4 linked regions of the Arabidopsis thaliana genome follow. The protein of the gene in region 3 interacts with the protein of the main gene of each other region in a pairwise test. Each region holds a gene or a part of one and is shown on either strand. Other genes may lie near its edges. The genes, in order: AT1G03350, AT1G35490, MYB112 and AT5G18450.

The links.
Region 1: the proteins of MYB112 (region 3) and AT1G03350 interact in a two-hybrid assay, tested with the Arabidopsis thaliana proteins (one large-scale study listed by BioGRID).
Region 2: the proteins of MYB112 (region 3) and AT1G35490 interact in a two-hybrid assay, tested with the Arabidopsis thaliana proteins (one large-scale study listed by BioGRID).
Region 4: the proteins of MYB112 (region 3) and AT5G18450 interact in a two-hybrid assay, tested with the Arabidopsis thaliana proteins (one large-scale study listed by BioGRID).

What each region holds. Positions count from the first base shown.
Region 1 is NC_003070.9:821,589-827,326, forward strand, and holds AT1G03350 (BSD domain-containing protein), read right to left. Parts: upstream 2,823-5,738; 5' UTR 2,659-2,822; coding exon 1,246-2,658; 3' UTR 994-1,245; downstream 1-993. Other genes in the region: RRP4 (ribosomal RNA processing 4), read left to right, coding at 3,065-3,225, 3,303-3,404, 3,514-3,559, 3,665-3,754, 3,834-3,899, 3,999-4,067, 4,157-4,591; AT1G03365 (RING/U-box superfamily protein), read left to right, coding at 5,594-5,738.
Region 2 is NC_003070.9:13,058,993-13,064,896, reverse strand, and holds AT1G35490 (bZIP family transcription factor), read right to left. Parts: upstream 3,349-5,904; 5' UTR 3,145-3,348; intron 3,052-3,144; 5' UTR 3,042-3,051; coding exon 2,512-3,041; intron 2,298-2,511; coding exon 2,222-2,297; intron 2,118-2,221; coding exon 1,991-2,117; intron 1,901-1,990; coding exon 1,731-1,900; 3' UTR 1,442-1,730; downstream 1-1,441.
Region 3 is NC_003070.9:17,703,114-17,709,358, forward strand, and holds MYB112 (myb domain protein 112), read right to left. Parts: upstream 3,348-6,245; 5' UTR 3,265-3,347; coding exon 3,072-3,264; intron 2,234-3,071; coding exon 2,104-2,233; intron 1,565-2,103; coding exon 1,156-1,564; 3' UTR 1,019-1,155; downstream 1-1,018.
Region 4 is NC_003076.8:6,114,643-6,119,459, forward strand, and holds AT5G18450 (Integrase-type DNA-binding superfamily protein), read right to left. Parts: upstream 2,400-4,817; 5' UTR 2,379-2,399; coding exon 1,455-2,378; 3' UTR 1,382-1,454; downstream 1-1,381. Other genes in the region: NUFIP (GATA zinc finger protein), read left to right, coding at 1-69, 161-220, 600-1,106. UniProt on the Arabidopsis thaliana protein: Transcriptional activator that binds specifically to the DNA sequence 5'-[AG]CCGAC-3'.

The sequences.
Region 1 (5,738 bases), about 17 Mb from region 3:
TTACTCAAGAAACAACTTGCTTTCTCGCCTTGAAATGGTGATTGGGGTTTAAGTGAGGGTTAATTACTCACGCGAGGGTTTCTCTTGGATCCATCCAGATCCTTTTCTATCCTTTTCTGTGTTCTTCTTACCAGTAAATTCTCAAAGGACGTCGATTGTGGTTTTACACTAATAGTTTCACATCGATTCGTTGCATTATTAAAATCCAATCATAAAATTTCTATTTATACATGCACACATACGGTACATGTTCAATTGAAACATTTTCCCTAACTAGACATGCCAATAAATAATAAGTTGGTTTGGTCCAAAAAATAAAATAATAAGTAAAATTCTACAAAACAAATGGTACAGTTTTGTTAATAACTAGATATTCATCCGGGTACACAACGTATTTATATTTTTGTTAACAAGTTAAAGATTTTATTTTAGTTAATAGTATTTATAAATGATAAACATATTAAGAAGTACACAACGAGCCTATATTTTTCTCAAAAATTTTTATTTTTTTGTTTTAAAGATGATTTATAGATATATGCTATTGCTTTTTTTTATGTATGATACATCTCGAAATGATTTATATAACTAAATTTCTGAAATTTTAAGTTATTTTTTGTATTAATATTGTAAATTTTGTTTAATTTTAGAATTTTACCATAGTATATCATTCCGTATTAATATTGATCCAAACCGTCTCACCATATATCCTAGTTCTGTGAAATTAAACATCATTTTGTCATTTTCTTATAAAGTTCAAATCTATATAATATTTGAAACTTCAAAAAAGTTTTAAATATATTGTATTATATCGTCCCGTATTAATATATTTTTAAATATATATATTATATAAAACTTCATAAGAGTTTTAAAATTATAAATATTAAAACGTTTTAAGAAGTTTTAATTTTAAAAGTTTTACAATTTGTAATATTTAACTTTTTTGGTTCTTCACAAAGGACAGAAATTGAGATTAATTTTGACACAATTAAAGCTCCGAATTCGCAGGGGTCAGTTGATTGATATACTCAAAATAACTGGAGAGAATGACTATCGCAAGATGAATATATTCAAACTTTCCTCAAACCACCTTCTCAAGTAAAATTTAAAAACATATTTTCAAATCAATGTAAAATAGAAACGTTGAAGAGAAAAACAACTGAAGAATGGGGGCAAAGCGCCAGAAACTTGTAAAAACAAGTAAAAGGATTGGCAAAAGTAAGAAAGCACACCACTTTAAAACTAACATTAAGCTTTGGATGATGATGATTCTTCTTCGTCATCTTCATCAATGTCCCAACTTAAATCTTCATCTTCCTCTGCAGCACTCAGACGTTTACGCAGCTCAGCTCTGTTTGGACTACCACCAGACCGACTCGTTTCCTTACCATCTATGCTACTCATATCCTCGATCTCGTCCCATCCCAAATCCTCTTCAGATGGTTGTTGAGTTGATGAAGAAGCAGCCACATCTGGTTTAGCTGAGTCTTGGGATGGAGCAGCCTCATCAGATTTTGGTTTGACAGAATCTTGGATTGGAGCCTCATCAGATGTTGGTTTGACAGAATCTTGGATTGGAGCCTCATCAGACGCAGGAGGAGCAGCATCAACAAATGATTTTTCTTCTGGAACTTCCTCACTATCAGTCTCCTTCTTTTCCTCAGAATCTTTATCTGTCTTCAAACCAACATTGCTCACTTCAGTCACTGAATCTGCACTTGTCACTTCATCTTGCGTGCTCACTTTAGCCACTGAATATGTACTTTCCACTTCATCTTTCACAGTTTCACTCACATCTCCACCACCCATACCATCATTCCCTTCAAGTTTCAACCTTGAAACATCTTTGGTAGCTTCAACAACTTTCTCGCTGCTCTCCTCTTCATCATCAATATCCCAGCTCAATTCTTCTTCATCATCCAGAGAGATGGCTCGTTTCACAAGATTAGCCCTTAAATCCTCAGCTTGCTTGAGCTTGTTAACCCTATAGAAATACCTAAACCAGAAGGTCTCGTGATCAACCATACTCGGAACGACCCTTTTATACACTCCTTTCATATCACCATTTTCCTCCAACAATTTCTCCATCTCCTCAGCTTTTCCATCCAGAGAAAACGCAGATTCCCACTTTTTGTAATCATCTGAATCCTCAGGCTCTTCACAGTAAGTGTTGAGATCTCCTTGAACAGCACGAATCTGAGCATCGAAACGACTATATGGTTTCGAACTGAAGCTATCACGACGACCAAAACTCTGACTACTATTGTTATCAGAAGAATCAGATTCATTACCAGCGGCTAAAATCGCTTCCTTACCTTGAGCAATAATCTCAGCCGTACCTTTTAGCACCGTGTTCCCAAGCTCATCAATCGCATGTCCCACCGTACCAAGCGATCCCTGAGCCACCTCGATCTCTTTCTTCAAACCTGTGCCAAATTCTTCGAGATCTCGTCGGTAGGTTTCAATCACGGATTCGGATCTGGTGGCTAGAGTTTTCATCAGACCACCGAAGCTCCATCCACCGTCGTCGTTAGATTCAGATTGCTCTGGATGTTCTTGCTCTGGATGTTCATGCTCTTCGCTGTGTTTCGGTGAATCGGATTCGGATTCGGTTTCTGGAGGATCTAGGTCTTCCGTGAAGACGGATTTGAAGAAATTCATAGCGTAAAGCTCAGATCTTACCAATCGGTACTCTCAGATAATTTGTTTGATCCGTGAAAGAATCAATTTGAAGAGTGAAGGATTCGAATTAGCGTCAGAAATAGGAAGATCACAAAAGACTTGAAGCTTGTCGCTGCAGAGACGTCTAATTTTTTTCCCATTTTTTTAATGAAGATAAATAATACTTTATTTGGCGTCAATTATCAGATTAATGGGCCAGAAGTTTTATAAATGGGCCAGAAGTTGGATATGTTAGTCCAACAAATAACACAAAACCCTAGAATTCATTCAAGGGAACTAACGTCAAGGTTTTTGCTCTTCTTCTCTCCCAAGTCCCAAACTCGTTTTGCATCGCCATTGTTGTGTTGCTGGAGCTAAATAGAGAGAAAGAGAGAGAGTGTCTGTGATGGTGATGAGAAAGCTACAGTTACCGTTGAGCCAGACGCAGAAGGTTAGGTTTGAGAGAGCAATCGAGCGGCTTCAATCACTGTCGTCGTCGGCTAACTCTGACGCTTCTGTTATCGTCACCGACTCTATTCCCGTCAACCATGACGATGCCTTCCTCAAGTAATTTCATCTCATTCTCCCTTCTGGATTGAAATTTTTGTCAAATTGCGTTTTCACGATTGGTTTTTTCATTAAAGGGGACATGGAACTTCCGAGGTCGATGGTGAGTTGCTCGCGACGGTCTGTGGAGTAGTGGAGCGTGTGGATAAGCTTGTCTATGTACGCACCTTGCGAGCCAGGTCTGTGATTGATCTTTGAATTTGTTTAGTTTCCCAGAAAATGTGAATAGAATGGACTCTCTACTCTGAGATTAAGTAGAACTGATGGTTTTGATGATCTACGTTTTAGGTACAAGCCTGAAGTTGGGGATATTGTGGTAGGCCGTGTCATTGAGGTAGATTTTTGTTTTGGTGTTTGGATTTTTGAAATCGGATTGAGTGAGTAACATAAAGGTTTCAATCACATTGCACAGTTACTGGATTGATCTTTACTTATTCAGGTTGCTCAAAAACGTTGGAGAGTGGAGCTCAACTTCAATCAGGATGGAGTACTGATGCTTTCTTCCATGAACATGCCTGATGGTATTCAGGTACAGTTTGATTCTTGATATTTTGCCATTTGGATGATTGCTTTTGGCTTCAATGATATAAGTTTATTGTTGTTGCCAGAGGCGAAGAACCTCTGTGGATGAACTCAATATGCGGAATATCTTTGTAGAGCATGATGTCGTATGTGTAAGTCCTGTGATTAGTAATGTTCCAATCTTTACATATCTTAACAGTTACGTCAACCTGACTAAAAGGGTTCCCTCTTTGGTTTGTTCAAACTCTTAGGCTGAAGTACGCAACTTTCAGCATGATGGTAGCTTGCAGTTACAAGCCAGAAGTCAGAAGTATGGCAAGGTTGGTTCTCATTTGGTCACATGCTCATGTAGTTATACCTTTCGCTAGTCTCTTCCTCTGAACATTGATTAATCCATGAATCGCTACAGCTCGAGAAGGGACAACTTCTGAAGGTCGATCCTTACTTGGTTAAGAGAAGCAAACATCACTTTCATTACGTAGAAAGTCTTGGGATTGATTTGATTATTGGCTGCAATGGTTTCATATGGGTTGGAGAACATGTCGAAGTGAGAGATCCTATGGCAATAGATGATCAGAAAGATGAGGAAATGATCTCATCCTCCTCCACAGGAAAAGAGCAAAGCCATATTCCACTCGAGACTCGACAAACCATATGCAGAATCGGGAATGCGATACGTGTCTTGTCTAATCTAGGCTTCACCGTGACACTAGAAGTAATCATGGAGACTGTTAACCTCAGTAACTCAAAGAATATTGACATACATGATATGCTTGGATCAGAGTTTCACGTTGTGGTAGCAGAGAATGAAGCTGAAAGAAGACGTACAAAGAGGAAAAAGTGAAAACTACCCCTTTTTGTCACTGATGTATCAGAGACTTGTAACGTGTATTAGATCATTCGGTCTTGTTTGTTACTCAGCTTCTATTGAAAGTTCGAATTTTAATCTGATTGAGATATGTAGTATGATGGATGTGTTTGATACTATTAACTGTACATCAGATTAGATTAGTCGAGTTATGTCTTTTGGAGACGGCTTTCTTCTTTCATTCATGAATTTATCGGTTTCGACTTTTGTAGCTGAAATTCGTTTTGTGAAAGGATCTACAGTTGCAGAAACAACATAGAAAAGATTCGCTGCCCTTTTTAGCTCGGAGAAGGGATAATTGGGAAATGACTAAAATACCCTCATGAGAATCCAAGTAATAACAGCGATTACCAAACCTCTTCTCTCATTCACGAAACAGTGTTCTACGGCCAATTTCTCTCGCTCGCTCCACACTCCCAAAACAATATTCTTCTTCTTCGATTTCTCACTCTCTGTTTGTCGCTACCGATCTTATTTCCCGCTATTTTTGTTCCGGCGCCGTTCTCCTTAAAGTCGCTATTGTCTTCGTTGAAGGTCAGTTTACGGCCTTTTTTAAATCCATTTTGGTGTATTCGTGATTGTTTGTGGGTTGAATGATCGTGCGATTATTTGGGGTTTTTAATTAATTTCGATTCAGTAACGGTTCTGAATTGCATTGCGATTAAGCACTTAATCAGAAAGTAGTACGCTTTAGATTTGAGGAATCTCTGTACATTTACTAGGCAAAAAGTTTACTTTTTTTTTTTGGCGTATTTCTGGGATTGCATTAGTTAGGCGATTGAATCACGTTTCTGAAAGCTACAACTAGGAGATGAAATCATCTCTCTTTTGCATGTATACAGATAATTTAGATGATTTTGGTCTAACATCTTTGATACTTTAATGGTTTTTGCATATGAAACAATTTCGTATCTATGTTCTACGCTTTTTTGTGTGTGTTTAACTTAAGTCGTTCATGTGTAATGGATTAAAAAGGTGATGAGTATAGTTCAAAAGCAAGAAGAGATGAATGGATGTGGTCTCAATGTTGACAAAGTAGAAGCCTTTACAGTGTCACCTCAGGAAAAAGGAAGGAAAAACAAGAGAAAGTTAGCTGATCCTTCTCAACCAAATGCTTCTTCCC
Region 2 (5,904 bases), 4.6 Mb from region 3:
AAAATTAATTACGTAAAATTTTAAATATTTGAAACCCTAATTATTTTCCCAATCCACATTTTTCGTTTTAAGTTTGCAATTGTACAAAATAATTATCACTCCCTAAAACTTTATTTTTTGATTTTTATTAAATTTTGTTCTTTTTCTGACAAAAATAAATTGTACATCTATTAATCTAATATTGCTCATTCAAATAATATTAACAAAATGCTCAAATTTAGGCTATTAAAATAAAAAAAGTTAGTCAAAAGCACAAGTATATCAATCCCAAATTATGATTAAACTAAATATTTATTTATAATAATTTTTACCAAAACAATAACATTATATATATTAAAAAATTTGAAGTACCTTTTTAAAGTACTTTTGTGTTAGTAAAGTAACAATTTAGAAAGAATATCATCACATTAAAGACAAAGACAATTCTTATTTTTTAAATATTATTATTGATATATCTTAAATTTTTAAACATTATTAATATTTAAACTTAAAAAAAAATAAAACATCATGAGACGAGAAATATATTTTAACTTTATAAAATATTATTAATATTTAAACTTATAAAAAATTTAAAATATCATGAGATGAGAAATATAGCGGAATGAGTTTGAATTGATATGAAATATAGCGGGACGGGTTTGGATTCATATAACACAGATTAAATATTTATTTTATTATTTTATCATCACTAAATTTTTTAGTTACAACATTAATATAAAATTATATAACTTTAATACTAAATTAAAACCGTAAAATTTAATATTATTAAATATGAATAAAACATTTGCCCCGTGGTATACCACGGGTTAAATTCTAGTTAGAGTTATATATTCGGAGATTATTTAGATTTGAGAATTTTTCCTAATCTAATAGAAAAAATATATGAACAAATTGGTTAATTTTTGTAACTTAGGGTTAGAAACTAAACAAAATAACAAATGATACTGCAAATCAGTTATTGAAAGTCTAAATAATACGCAATACAATCTTTCTTAATCGTTGTCAAATTTGTAAAGTTTGTATATATAGTATCTCAACTTGAAGTTCTCCCGACGATGCTGAAAGACCATTTAAAAATAAATATATATATATATATATATAATGTATGTAGCCATAAAATCTTTTAAAAGATATGGATGAGAATTATATTTCATATCAGTTTTTTTACTTACTATGATTAATATGCATTTTTTGAGATGGAGGGTAAAATTAAAATACAATGGCGGCTTAAAGGATTTTTTTTTTTACTGTTGCATAAACCCAACAAATTACTATGTTTTCGTAAATTCATTTTTTAAATATTAATCTTAATTTTCATATTATCTTGACTGGTGTATAAAATAGTATACAGAATATTTATATATATATATATATATATATATATATTTTTTTTTTCCTTTTATTACTAGAATCGGTCACAACTTGTATATATATAGATAAAGGAAATTGTCAAAAAAATTACTTATTCATATATATAATAGATGAAATAAGAAGGATTACAAGTTATTACATAACATGAAGTTTCTTGACAAGAGATTCTCTACCATGCCATAAATAGAGAGAAATGCAATAGAGGAGGATATGGGCAACCACATTTTGATTTACATAACGATGCTTTTTTAGGTTTTCATTCAAGGCTACAAACATCAAGTTCACCTATGTTGTATGGACATTAAGGTAGAGCAAGAGGAGCTCAGCTTAATCTGAACAATGTATCCATATTTCCTAAATCATATTGCCAAGGCTGCAAATTGGGCATCGGGTTCTTGTGTAACAGGTGGTTGATATTTGTTGTATCGATTTTGTATTGCTTGGACTTGTTTTTGGTTTTGCTGTGGTTGTTGTTGGTGTCGTCGAAACTGTAGGTTTCCTATCTCTCTCTCAAGCAATTGCTGCTCCACTGTATTAACCAACCAAAATCAAAATTTTACAAGAGAACAAAATAAATGCATTTTGATCCATTTTAGTAGTGATATGAAAGGTTAAATACCATGTTTAAGCTTTTGGATTTCTGCTAAACTATCCATACGTTGTTTTAAAGCTCTATTTTCCATGCTAAGCATGAGTAACTGCTGATCCAAGTAGTGAATGGCAGATGACATTTCACATCCTTCAACCTATTGAAGAAAATCCAACATGTATAATATAACATTAGGAATCTTTTCATATTATTAATGAAATTAAAGAACTTCGAGAAATACACGAGCCTTTAGAATCTTACTTGTAGCACTTGGATGGTCCTTTCAAGGTCTGATATGTACTCAAGCCTTCTCAAACGCGCTCGATGAGCATTTTGACTGCATTTTAATAATTTTCGATAAAATTGTATATTATTAAACCGCATCAGAAATATGTTTATCAACCTATATTAGGAATGTGGTCTAACTTATCCCAACAGTTAGCTCAAGAGTTAAGGATTGCCAGATAATGCCTAAAGATCTTAATCTCAATCGATGTGGGACATTTTAATAACCTATTATAAGTACACATGACAAAGATAAGACTACTTACTGTTTGATACGTTTTGAGTCAGTCTTTGATCTAGGACCATCTGGTTTTGTAGAAGTTCCTTCTTTCATTTTGCTTACATGTTTCTCAATGGGTTTCGACGACATATTTAAAGCTCCGCATGACATATTTCTTTGGATATTAGTTCCATTTGCTGTAGAGAAATCCCATCCTAATTTATTGTGTTGTTCATAAGAGTTGGACTGCCACAAATCATAGTTCTGGAACTGCCAAGACGAACCAGCAACATGATTTTCCTTCGAAGGCATTAAAGCTGAGTTCAAGTAAGCAGCTGTGTCACTAGCTGAACGTCTATGACCTTTGTTAATCTTAGGTGATGCTGGCTCACTTAGGAGCTCATCGAGCCAAGCTGGTTGGTCTTCTGTGAAAAGATCATCTAAAGAAGCACTATGGTGGTGCATATTATTAGGAGGAGAAATGTTATTTTCCATGTTTTTTTGGGGAACTCGTGATTGTGATCTTCCAATGAATCCGAAATTTCCCGGGTTTGACAACCTCCTTAAATTTTCCATTCTTCAAAACCTATAAGGTATGAGCAAAACATGTATAAGAAAACCATTATCATGTAATGACAAGAATTGAAGATACAGTTTCTTTAACATGCAAAGAACATACCTAAGAAGACGTACGAGATTAGGAGACGTGTGATTGTTAGACCTTCCACGGGGAGGAAAATGGCATAAGCTCCTCCCGTGTGGTTGGTTTCGATCACCTCTTCTCCTTAGAATGCAAAAAAAAAAAAAAACAAGAAACAATCTCTAGATCACTAAATAGAGGAAGATACCATATTGAAACAATCCATGTTGATGATTTACATTGCGTGGTTTTCGTGAAAACAACAATTCTTGTCCTTATGCTTTATTTGGTCTATTATTTTCTCAGTTATTTTTGCTTTTTCACTTTCCCATAATAGACTCCACCATTGGTTTATTCAGACTGGGTTTATTGGTACACAATACTACAAAAGCTTCGAGGAATTCTTTCATTTTTTATTCATCGAATTTGTATAGTAAGCTCCGTAATATTTTTATGTGATTTATCTACACGCTTCTAATAGATGCAAAATCAAAATATTACTCTCACTATCATATGAGATTGACAATGTAATGACGTGGGACAATTTCTTTCTTTTTTTAGTTAATAATCTTTTCTATTTACATAATTATAAAATTCTAATGTTATTATGAACTTATAAAGTACTAGATATACAATATATATATATATATATATATATATATATATATTTAAGAGAACTATAAAAAAATAAGGAGAAACTTTGTTAAATATTAAGAAATTGATATGTTCAAATGTTTAATAATTTGCACTTTAAACTCTAAAGCTGAAATTTAGTACGAAATGTTATCAGCTTTAATTTGATAAATAATTATAAGTGATAGTTTGCACTTTGTAGATTCTATACCATCTCTATACTATTATTTGAGAAATGTTGTTAGCAAAATAACTAGATGTTACTAGATTTTAATCCGCGGTATACCGCGGGACGATTTATTTTTTAAAAGTAATATATATTAAAACTTGCAAATTTTATTTTATAAAATATTTATATTTTACAATTTATAATTGTTATTAACTAACGCTATACCACGAATCCATGAGACAATTGTTAAAAAACTGAAGTTTTAACCCCTATTAAAACAGCATATTAATAATATTTTAAAATTTTATAAATATTAATTCAAATACATCCGCCATATAACTCAATTCTAAAATAAAACCCGTTCTGTAATTTCTTTACCCGTCCTGTGATTTTTTTTTAAGTAGTAATTTTTAAAATTTAAGAATTATTTTTTATATAAAAGTTTTGCAAATTGTATCATTTTCTAATACATTTATATTTTATAGTTTAATTTTATATATAGTAACATTATACATACCACATAACATTTTTTGTTTTATATAATCTTTTCTAAATTAGGATGATTTGATATGTTTAATATTAGTGGTCTTAGAAAATAATAAATTAAAGATTTAACCCGTATTGAAACGGTGGATTAATTATATTTTATTTTTTTTATTAATGTTGATTCAAAAACCCGTCTCTCTAAATCTGTCTTGCCAAAAAGCCATTTATTTATTAATATTATTTTTATTAATGATATGACTCTGAATTATAATCTAAACATTTTAGTTAATAACATAGGAGTGCACCATATTTATTTAATAGGGGAATGTACCATATGAGCCGAACGCACTTTTATCCAAATCCACCAAAAAAGTCTTGCAAAAATACTATAGAGATAAGAAACGATTGTCGGTTTTGATAGGTATAAGATTAGCAAATATATTTGTTAGCTTAAATTAGTTAAAGAATACAAATTGAAAAGGTATATTACACTTTATTCGAATATAGTATCAAAACTTATATAACACAGAGATTTGTTATTTTTTAATTGTTGAATATTTTTTTTTGTGCTAATTTTTATGTGATTAAGATTTAATTGATTTCGTAAATAAAATATTAAATTGTTTACGAACTTATTTGTTTATAATTTGGTAATAGATAGATATTTGAATATTCAGTATATTTTGCTTCAGTTTAGGAAATCTTTGATGACCCATCTCTAGATCCAATAAGCCCTATAATCTAGATATTAACCTGCAGTATACCGCAAGTAGCCTTATATTTTAGTTAAACTAAAAACTTTTATTGTAAAGATGATTTAAAAATATATGATATTATTTTATTTGATTTTAAATGTATAGTAAACTGTGAGTTGTATATGTTTTGTTGATATTATCTATATTGTTTAGTGTTTAAGATTATACACTTGTAGTTTGATTGTTAATTTAAGAGTTTGACATGTAGTATACCATCTTGTATTAATATCGATCTAAACCCGTTAATTCTAGGATTTTCCAGCTTGTATTAAAAATTGAATCACATCTAATATGTTATTAATTATTGTAGTATATAAGATTATAAATTTTCAATATAATATGTATGAAATTGAATAGAAATAATTCAAATTATGACCAGTTACTCAGTAGAAAGTTTTCTTAAATCTATTTTTCATCCGTTATAATTTTTTTCATGTATTGAACAGTTTATATTCGTTTTTAAAAATTCAAATTATGACATATGCGAAAAAACTCAAATTATTTTTTTATAATGATGATATTATTTTTCGGCAAAAATAGAATCATATAAAGATGAGAAGTGAACTATAATAATTAATAAAAAATTAATATGATAATTTAGATATCAAATCTAATTTGTTGATTTTAATTGGTTACTTTTTTGGAAATTAATAATGCATTTCATTTTTCTAATTAAATTAAATTAATTAAAATTTAGATATCAAATCTTATATGTTGATTTTGATTGGTTATTATTTTTGGAAATTAATAATGTAT
Region 3 (6,245 bases):
ATTTTTGGATTGTTTCCATTTAGTCTATAGACGTGTTCGATGATTAATTTAATATATTCTAACAAATAAAACAATTAATACTTTGATTATAAAATAGGGTTCGGGTGAATCTGTGATCCTCCTTACTCGACGTAGTGGAAAAAAACACTGAGAAATAATTTATTTAAAAGTTTAACTAGAGTAACTTATTTGGGTTCGTCCCCTCTGGACGTATATAATCTCGATAAAGTGTTACATGAGTTGGAGTAACTAATAGTATCTTAATCATGATTAGGAATTGGAGACATCATTCACGTCCTTTTCTTTTAGTTAAACTATTAATGATTATACAAACTAAATTAATATGTGATTTTAAATGAAACTAACGATATTATTGGTTAGCCAAACAAGAAAATATAGGCCCTACAAACTAGAAATTTCCAAAACAATAATAGCACCACAAACTACATAACCGATTTAGAGAATTCAACATGTATGTAACTAAAGTTTTTTTTTTATTTTTAAAAAATGATATTTGAGACGACGAAATTTTACTTGCATATTTTTAAGAGTTGATACCATCTTTAAGTGCTCTAAGCAATATGTCTCATTGTCTCGAGCATGCAAGATTTCATGAACACTTCAACTCTGAGTTTAGATGAGAGGGCCAAATCCAAATTAATAATTTATTTAGAGTAAAATAATTATTTGATGTTCACTTCATATACACATCATGCATCAATCTCTATTTCAACCCATTAGTTAAATAAGTATGTAATGAATTTCTTTGGGATATGTTATCAAATACTCATAATGTTTTTAATAATGCGGTGATATTATAAAACTTAATTGATGATCATATATGGTAGATTATAAGTGATCGTATGGGAGTTATTAAATGAACCAGGAACCACATAAACTTTTTGCTAAACTCATGTTGTTGTTTTTCTCTTCTTTGCTCTTATAGTCTTATCTAAATCATGCTTCTGTGTAACAATATATATGTTTTTGATATTATTAATTAAGCAGTTTTTTTTTTGTTTTGTAAAATCATACATCACAATAAAATTAAACCAATAAAAAAATGGAAAAAAACCCGGAAAACCTTTAATTTTGTTTTGAATGATTAGTTTATGTTTATTATACATTACATTCATTAATAAACCCATGAAATGCCTACTGTATGAGCCACTTGTTGAGCTCGTCAAAACTACACAAAGTTTCAAACGTATCTCCGCCGTTGAACCAATAACCACCATTTGTCATATGATCCAACGTTCCAAATTCCACCTGATCACCACCGTAGAAACTCGATCTCACAGCCTCAGACGACGACGTTGATGACGTGGCGGTGGCGACGCTGGAGTTCTCAGGCGAGTAGTGGTTAGAGGTAAATTGGACACTTTGAGTGGCGGCGATTCTCTCGATGAGACGAGGCATCCAGAGATGTTTGATGGTGTCTTTGAATTGCTTGCTGTTCACGTCACATTTTAGAAGTTTTGCATGCTTTTGAACACGTGTTCTCCAATAATTCTTTATCTCGTTATCTGTTCTTCCCGGTAAATGTTGAGCAATCTTTGACCACCTTCACAATAGAAAAAATATCAAAACTAACTCCATTATTAAAAACACGATTAATTTTATAGAACATCGTAATTAAACTCTCATTCCGTTTTTTATTAGAATCATTTATACATACAAAAAATATATTAAATTTCTAATATACTTTTTGTACGTATATTAATTGTTTTTGTTAAAACCGACTCTTGCTAAAAATATTATTTATAATGAATCGGAGGGTTTAATTATTTATAAGTTCTATTGTAGTACTAGATTAATCAGTTTTTTTAGTGTTACTCTGATAAAAAAAGACGTTGATGTGTACCTTAATTTCAACTATGATACAAGTTTCATATAGTAACCACAATTCAACCAAGAAATTTCAAATACGCATCAAATTGATTTTGTCAATTATCTACTAATACAATATTGAATAACGAGTTATTTATTTCATAGAGACGTTCCAAATTTGCTCTCTTCAACGATATGTGTCCCTTTTTCTATTTTAAGTAATGTATCGACAATATGACTATGTCTATGTCGATATAAATAAAGGTTTCATACCGATTTCCCCAACGAGAATGGAGTTCAAGGATGATAAATTGTTCTTGAAGGGATATGTCTCCACGGCGGATATCCGGCCGGAGATAATTTAGCCACCGCAATCTGCAACTTTTCCCCGTTCTATTCAGTCCTGTCTCAATAGTAAATGATTTCAATATAAATACAATTAGTATAAAAACATGAATTAACTGGAATGTACACTAGTCAATAGTATATGGACACTAGTACAATTTCCCAAATCAATAAAGATAACAATTCCATGAGGCTGTATGGAATTGGATGGTTGGGAAAGGTGTTTGAGTTCCACACTCAAAAGGCTAATATGAAAAGAACTCCAAAGGAAAAAATAAATAAATTTGGACCGACCAAACTGTTTCATACGAAAGTACACTTTTAATGATAATAATGAACTATGAATATGTCAACTTGTTCTTTCTTACTTTACCAATTCTACAGAGGAATTTAAATTATGCCGACATGGAGAAGTCACAGCCATAAGAAAAGTATTCTCATAGTTACGAAAAATCACATTCATATATGTATATCACTCACATATGATGTGATAGAAATTGAATAACATATTGATAAGATGTGGACGAGTTTTTATATCTACTCCATTTAATTTCAGTTAGTTATAAATAAACTCTAAACTAAACTTCACATGATCATATTAAAATCCACAAAATCCAAAACGAATTTCTAATAAGAAAAAAAAAAGTTTCAGTCTAAATGTTTAAAAAACAAAAACGGACTACTTGTTTGACATATAAAGAATCCTTCAATACCAAACTTTAACCATTCAAATCAATGATAGTTTAACAATCACTCTAGAGATATGATATGGGCATATAAGGATTTGTTATGATGACTTCAATTGATCTGAATCGATCGATTTACGCATTACATATTATATATCATGCATGATCACATATTCTGTATATATATATGCAAAAGGCTTAAGAAGTTACCAGCAGAACGAGAGAGGGAGTTCCATCTTCCTTCACCGTGAAGAGAAATGTAACTGACGAGCTTCATGTCTTCTTCCACAGTCCATGGACCTCTCCTTATTTCTATTTCCATCTTTTTCTCGACTTCTTCGACTTCTTCTTTATGATTTATAAGGGTTTTACAGTTTGCGAATTCTGTTCTACTTATATTCATGCTTTGAGATTCTTAGAAACTTGTGAGAAGATTGCTCTGAGAAAGATTTTAATTAATGAGGGAGAGAGTTCTCGGAATGGACATAAAGTGATCGAGTTTTCAGGGTGGGTTTTATAGATTTTTTTTTGTTTTGTTTTGTATATATTATAAATAAATACCAAGCATTTGAAATCGGCATGTTAATAGATAAATTATTACCCGAAGATATTAGTGGAATTTTCGCAAAATAATAATTTCTAAGTAATAGTATAAGAGTTCTTAGTTTCTCCTTAAGCACATGCTATAGTTAAGAGTTGGATAAGCTATCAAGTAAGTAAAAGTAACCGAAGAAGTAATTTAAATTAACATCATTTATTTATCGATATAATTTAGTTGATGCAACAAACCCTTTTTTCTGTAGTATATAATTTTGTTTAGTTTTGATTCAGGTTTCCTTTTATTAAACCAAACTAGAATTTAACCCTCAATATAACACGGGACAATTTTGTTTTCACATAATCTTAACTAAATTAGTGTAATTCTACATATTTAATATTAGTGATGTTAATCAAATAATAAAATGAGAATTTCACCGTATTATAATGTCGGTTAATGATACTTTTAATTTTTTTAATGTCGATTTAAACTCATTTTTCATATACCCAGTCTCAAAATATAACATGTACTGCGTTATTTTAGACTTTTATATATATTCATTTTATTTTAAACTTTATACTGAGTTTAAATATATCAATTATAATATTTCAAAACTTTCAAAGCTTAAAATTTACTATATCCAGTAAAATTAAACAGTTCAATTAAAAACAGAATTAAACCATATACAAACTTTTAAATTTAGATACTTGTTAAGTTAAACTTCTTGTTTATTTAGATTTAGATTTATTTATAACATGACTCTTAATCATTTTCTAAACATTTTAGCCCATGTGAAATTGAGACGTTGAACACACTTTTTTATTATTTAAGTAATATATATGTCTAATTCTAAAATTTTGAATCAGAATATAGGTAGAAAATAGTTTATTATTAACTTTATATGATGATTCAAAACAAATAGAAAACAAAATCAAACAAAGATGATTGCGAATCATTATTTTAATTCTTAACACAATCTTTTAATATGTATTACTAATTTTGGAACATTATATGTATATTTCAAATTTTATAGTTAATGTTAAAAACAATCAATTGATTTGGTTATACGGATAATAAAAATTAATAGTAAAGTTATTTGAATACATGAATATAAGTAATGACATTCTCTGTTAATATTTATCAAAATAAAGGTGTTTTTTAAAGTATACTTCAAAAATAATACTCCCCCTATTCTTTATTAATTGATTTTTAGAGAAACAAAATTGTTTCAAAAAGATTGATTTTTTAGGTTTCTATGCACTATTTATTAGTTATTATTGATGAATTTTAAACTTCAAGACAAATAATTGAATATCATTAGTTTAGAATTATTAAAAAATTAAATCACAAAAATTAAATCAATATGTTTACTTAATCTGTGATTGTTTCTAGAAAATCAATAAAAAGGGACAAAAGGAGTAATTTTTAGTCATGATTTCAATTTGATGCAATTTTGGTTTAATTTATTTTGACTTACGGTTTAGATTCGGTTTGGTTTTGATAAAAAAAGTTAGAACATATATAAATACAGATTGATGAAAGAAACTAGTTAAATTTTTTGAAGTTACTAACTTTTTTGGGTTTTCTTTAGTTTCGGAACTCTTGGTTACTTTTTTTTAATGGTTTTAGCTATAAATTTTAGTTTTTTTAATTAGAAATAGAAAAGGATTACAAAACAAAAAAAAGACTCAAGAGAATGTAACAATATAAAAATGCTTTGATAGCATGAAAGCAAGATGCAGCGAACCTCAAAACTCTAAATCGAGTAAAGCTTAACCTAACCCATGTCTCTAACCATAAACTCATTAAAGCCGAATCAGAGTTCTACAAAATGTAAAATCTCGATGAAACTAGTTTTAGATCAAACCATTTTTGCCAAACTTTACACTAGGTCAAAAGTTTTCCAAAAAAAAAAAACAAAAAAAGTTTTAACACCATTATACGTAGTTAAAAAAAAAAGAGAAAACAAAATTGCATTACCTATGATTGATATGTTATTAGTGGAGTATTTGCCATGGTTTTATCGTTTTTGATAGTTTTCTTTGCCATACCTTTTGCCATGTTATACAGTTTTGACAAAATAATGAAAAGGAAATTTGTTTTTTTTTTCTTTAATCCATAAAACAATATATCGATTTATAATATTTTATTATGTTTAGGTAATATTTTAGAAATAACCAAAACTATGGCCGACAGATTTTCATATTAGAAATCTTCTTTTAAAATTGTGGACTAGATATAACACTTGACAAATCGTCTTTACATGTGTCTTCATCGGTTATCGCTGCTGAGACTCTTAACATTTAAGGTGACATTGTCCTTTGTTGCCAAAGCTTTGAGGGCGGCATCAAAATTGGTAAGTGCAATAATAGAAAGTTCTGAATATTCGGTATAATTTTTTATGAATGAGGATCAGTCGTGCTTTTAACGAGTGATTTGAATTGCATGCTTATGTTTAAGAAATTTCGTGACGCATAGTTGATCAAAAACTTTGTTACACCAAGAAGATTAAGTTTTTTAGTTTTAGGAGTCGACTTAAAGAACATAAAACAGAATGAAGAATTATTACTAACCTTACTTTCTGAAATTTTATAGTAAAAGCATTACTAACAGAACCAATAAATAATTGTTTTTACATAACAACCAAATTTATTTTATGATTTTAATATGAAGATTATGTTTCTTGTTACATGAGAATTGTTGTGAGATTTATATGGACCACATTTAACCATATCTACACTTGAAAGTAAATATCAACATATTGATTTTTGGTCAAACTTGTTTAATTATGTACTATAGTAAGGTAATTTCTTTTTTGACAATAAGGTGATTATTTTTCCATGGTC
Region 4 (4,817 bases), on a different chromosome or scaffold from region 3:
CCAAGAGAAGTTCAGCAATGGCGTGAAGCTCGACGTAAGAATTATCCAACGAAATTCCTTGTTGAAAAGGTTAGAGTCGCTCTCCCTCTCCCACCAGCTTTAATTTGTTGAAATTCACTCCTTTGGTGAAAATTTTGAATGCTAAATTACCTGTTTGCAGAAAGTAAAGAAAAATGTTTCAGCCAGCATCCTTGATGAGGAAGCAAAAATGCGTCGTCAGGTACCCTTTATTTTGGTCTAGACACTCTGCATTAATAGAAATATAGGATCAATTTGAGAAATTCCACTTAAACTATTTTAGGAAAAGGTGAATAGGAGCTATAGCTGATCTGCTATGGTGTATAAATATGAATACTAAAATTATAAGTTAGTAAATCTTCATGAAGCTCAAGTCACACCTTTAAGATCAGCTGGCCAATAATGAAACTGAAATCTCAGTAGTTTATGGTTTTTGTTTTGTTTTCAAGTTCAGGCCTAACAAAATACACCTTCAAGTTAAATATCCAGAAGGTTATGATGGTGAAAAAAGCATCTATGCTCATATATGTAACGCGTAATGAAAAGTTATTGGATTCATGGTTTTTCTATTGGCATTGCAGCAACTCCGGGAAGTTTTAGCAAAGCAGGCTGAGTTAGGTGTTGAAGTTGCAGAAGTTCCTTCGCATTATTTATCCAATAATGATGAACAAGTTAATGGAGATAGAGGAAACAACAATGGGCGAAAGGGACGATTCCAGAATAATAGACGTAATAAGAGAAGACATGACAGAAAAGATAAGTTTGATAATAAGAAACCAAGATTGGAAGACAAAAAATCGTCTCAAGATTCTTCCATAACGACTAGAAAACCTACATTGCTTGAGAAGCTCCTAAGCGCAGACATAAAGAGAGACAAAAGCCAGTTATTACAGGTCTTCCGCTTCATGGTAATGAATTCATTGTTGAAGGAGTTTCCAGAGCAACCTCTGAAGTTACCTTTGATTACAGTAAAAGAAACTGGCTGTGAAGATGCTATGGAAGATCCCTCAATTGAAGGTTTATGTGATGGCCTTAGTGATGGCGATGATGTGGATGGCGATGATAGCTCATGTGATGAAGATGTTTGATGTTTAAATTTGTAAGACCGGACACATGAGCAGTATAAGGATTTGTGATATTAATCTATATGTGTTTTCGTTTTGAAGATATGTCCGCAGGAAACAGTAAGATAAATAATCTGATACAAGGAACATGAGAGTAAAAATAGTGTCACATTCGAAACTTGCTTCATCTCTATTAATTTGTTTTTACAAAACGTGTAAGAAAATTCACATTATGCCCAAACCTATTTACACACATAAGCACTACATGCAAGGAGAAAACAAAAAATCCCACGATTGATGTATAACAAATAAACAATCCTAAGTCAAATATAAGAAATATGTATGATAAATAATAGTAATAAATAAAAACTCTCAGAACCAATTCCATGGATGTTGAAACTCTTCACAACACCAATTCTTGAAATCTCCATTTTTGCCAATCAACAAACCTAAATCATCAATCTCCAAAAGATCATCCATTTCCAAATATCCTGTTCGCTCTTCCAACTCCGGCCTATGCATCCTCTCTCCGCCGCAACTAGGAACCAACATACTCTCCTTGTTGTCCGACGATCCACACGACGATGACACGTCATGTTCCGTCTTCTTTTCTTGCCCCACAAGAAACCTAGACCAAGCTCCATTGTATAATCCATAATTCTGACTCATCAAATTCTTTGGTTTCAAATTGGTCGAAAACGTTAACGTAGAGCCACCACCGCCTTCACCGCCATAACTAGTCGTAGCATTAACGGTCTCTTGATCTTGTGAATCACTTTGTTTAGGTAATAACCAACAAAGATTCGAACCACTTGAAGACGAACATCGATTATGACTATGATCATCATCTTCTTGTAGAAAACTCGATCTCTCTGAGCAAGAACCTCGTGAACAACTTGCCTGGCCGAGACCAAGGTCCAACCCATGAACCATATCGAGCTTCTTATTATAAGCCCAAGAACCCGACCCGTGGCCAGAAAAAGACAAGTTTCTGTTCACTACTACTTGTTGTTGTTGTTGTGGGTGCACCAAGTTGAGTTTAGCCTCGTGTCCATAGAGTTTCTTAGCGGCTTCATCGTAAGCCATGGCGGCCTCGACCGAGGTATTAAACGTGCCGAGCCAGAGACGAGTCCCACGGTTAGGCTCACGGATCTCAGCCACCCATTTACCCCAAGTCCGTTGCCTAACTCCACGGAAAGTACACGTGGCGTTCTCTGGACCGCCTTTACCTTTCATGCAACCTTTTCTAGATCTCCCCATGTTTCGTTTCTTGGCCGGAGGTTGCTCTTCTTCCATGGTGTTTCTTTGAGAGTCTCAAATTAAATCTGGTTTAGTGAATGAAAAATTGAAGTGTGCGTGTGTATATATATACAGGACACGTCAGGAGTATACGTATTCTTACGTGGCAAATGTAAATATGAGTGTGTACGTGTGTTCTGTGTGTATACACTAAGGTAAAGGATCTCTCGTTTTGTTTATTTGATTTAATGTCTGTGTTACACGAAAGTGACCCCCGACCACTGTCTTGATGATGACTCACGTGTTTGTGTTTCTCTCTAAGCCCCTCTCCTTAAAAAGTGAAAATTAAGGAGATACTATGTTATATATCCAATGTATTTTTTGATTTTTTTGTTTATTTAAAACATATAGAGTAGAAACTTTATAAATTAATAATGTTGGGACCAATAAAATTTTATTAATTTATAGTAATATTAATTTATCTTATAAATTAATATTTATAATTTATTATATAAATATTAAATATTAATTTATAGAAATATTTACGTAAAATACAATACTATAATTTTTAAAAAATGTCTGTTAATTTAATTTTCTATATGATTTGTTGTTTGCATATATTATTATGTCAGATTTTTATTTTTCCTTGACTTCTTTTATTTATTTTTCGGTAAGATATTGTATCTGTATATCTACGATATTAACGTGAACGTAAACACAAACATGAAACTTAATCCAATTTCTCTTTACACAAATCTTACCAATGCTTTCTCAAATAAAAGATTTTACAAAATCAATTATGACGAATCAAATATGCAAATAGTTATGTGAGTAAAACATAAATCATACGAGTTGTATTTTAAAAAGAGTTGTAATTATAATTTGAACAAAAATTTCATATAAAAATTAGTCTTAAAATATATTCTTAAGATCTATAATTATTAATTTATAATATTATTGAGACTATAATTTTACATAGAAATTTCAAAAAAAAATATTATCTTATTATCTTATCGATTTTGGTTAATTTTTACATTGGTCCGACTTGGGACTAACAAAATTTATTAATTTATCGTGTTTATTAATTTATCAATTATTAATTTATAGAGATTGTACGGTAATTCCCTAATATATAAATACACATGCATAATTAAAAAAATTATAATTTTAAAAGATATAAAATAAACTAATATATGTGGAAGATTTTCAGAACGGTAATAAAAATTCATAAACTTTTCATCATTAATTTTTCCTAATGCAAAATATAAAAATGGATAATCTGACACAAAAAATTTATATTCTACTGTTTCATGATATGTAAATAATATCTTTTAAAATTAGTTTTTGTGAGTTTTTAAACAAAAACTGATTAAAAAAAGATTAATATATTTAGTGAATGTTAGATTTAACAATAATTAATTGATTTATTATTTTCTCTTTTTTTTTTTTTTTTTTGAAACATCCGAAAACTGTTTTTCTTAACAAATTTACAACACAAACCTGAATAAAACCACACTCCAAATAGCTCGAGTCATATCCATATGTAATACTTACAGATTTTGTATACGATTCTTAGGTTTTCGTTTTCGAGGTTTTACTTAGATTATAAGTTTCACCGTTTAGTTTTTGGATAGGAGTAATAATATAAGATAAACAACAAAATAAATGCGAAGTATATAAGTCTACGTACATGCGAAAATGGAATATGTCATGTTCATATGCCAGGTGTCAAGATCGAGGGTGGCCTGGCAAACGACTCGGAACACATGGCTCTACCATTGATTAGGTGCTTCGGCACGAAGTATCTGTTTTTACACCACTACTTATTAAATCCTCTGTTTTTGTTTCAATCATACATGGGATTATCTATTTCCCTAGTTGGAAAAAAACTTCGAATTTCTTAATATTCTTAACAATTTTCGCTGAAAAAAAACTTACGTGAATCAATGTATGTTGATCACACAGTGTAATTACACTGTACACATAATTAACTATACTAATCAACATTCGATCATTGCTTTTTGGAGAAAATGTCCTCAATCCGTTCTACATAAACAAATTAAAGTAGTTAACTAATAACTAAAAAATGTTTTGCACTTTACGGTCAATAATAATTGAAGTTCTTAAACTGAAAATTAGTTTATTTCCATTGCACAAGATGTCAAATAAAGAGAGTTTACAAAATTAGGTGTTGACGATGTAAAGAGCATAGAGCAAAAACTTTCGTGAAAATGAATCTAACAATAGTTATATATATATAAAAAATCAATCAATCAAAAGTTAAGGGAAATTATTTTTGACTAGCTTCTATTAACTGAGGGTGTAGTATTGTCGAAAGAAATTTGTAGCATATACATGCATATTCTAGAAAGGTACAGTAGCCGGTATAATTTAAAACATGAGCTTTAGATTGCATGAGGACGAGCAAGTCAGTGTGAGATACTATGGCTCTGGGGATGGGTGTCACTCTTACATCGTGGACAATGCGACACTTGT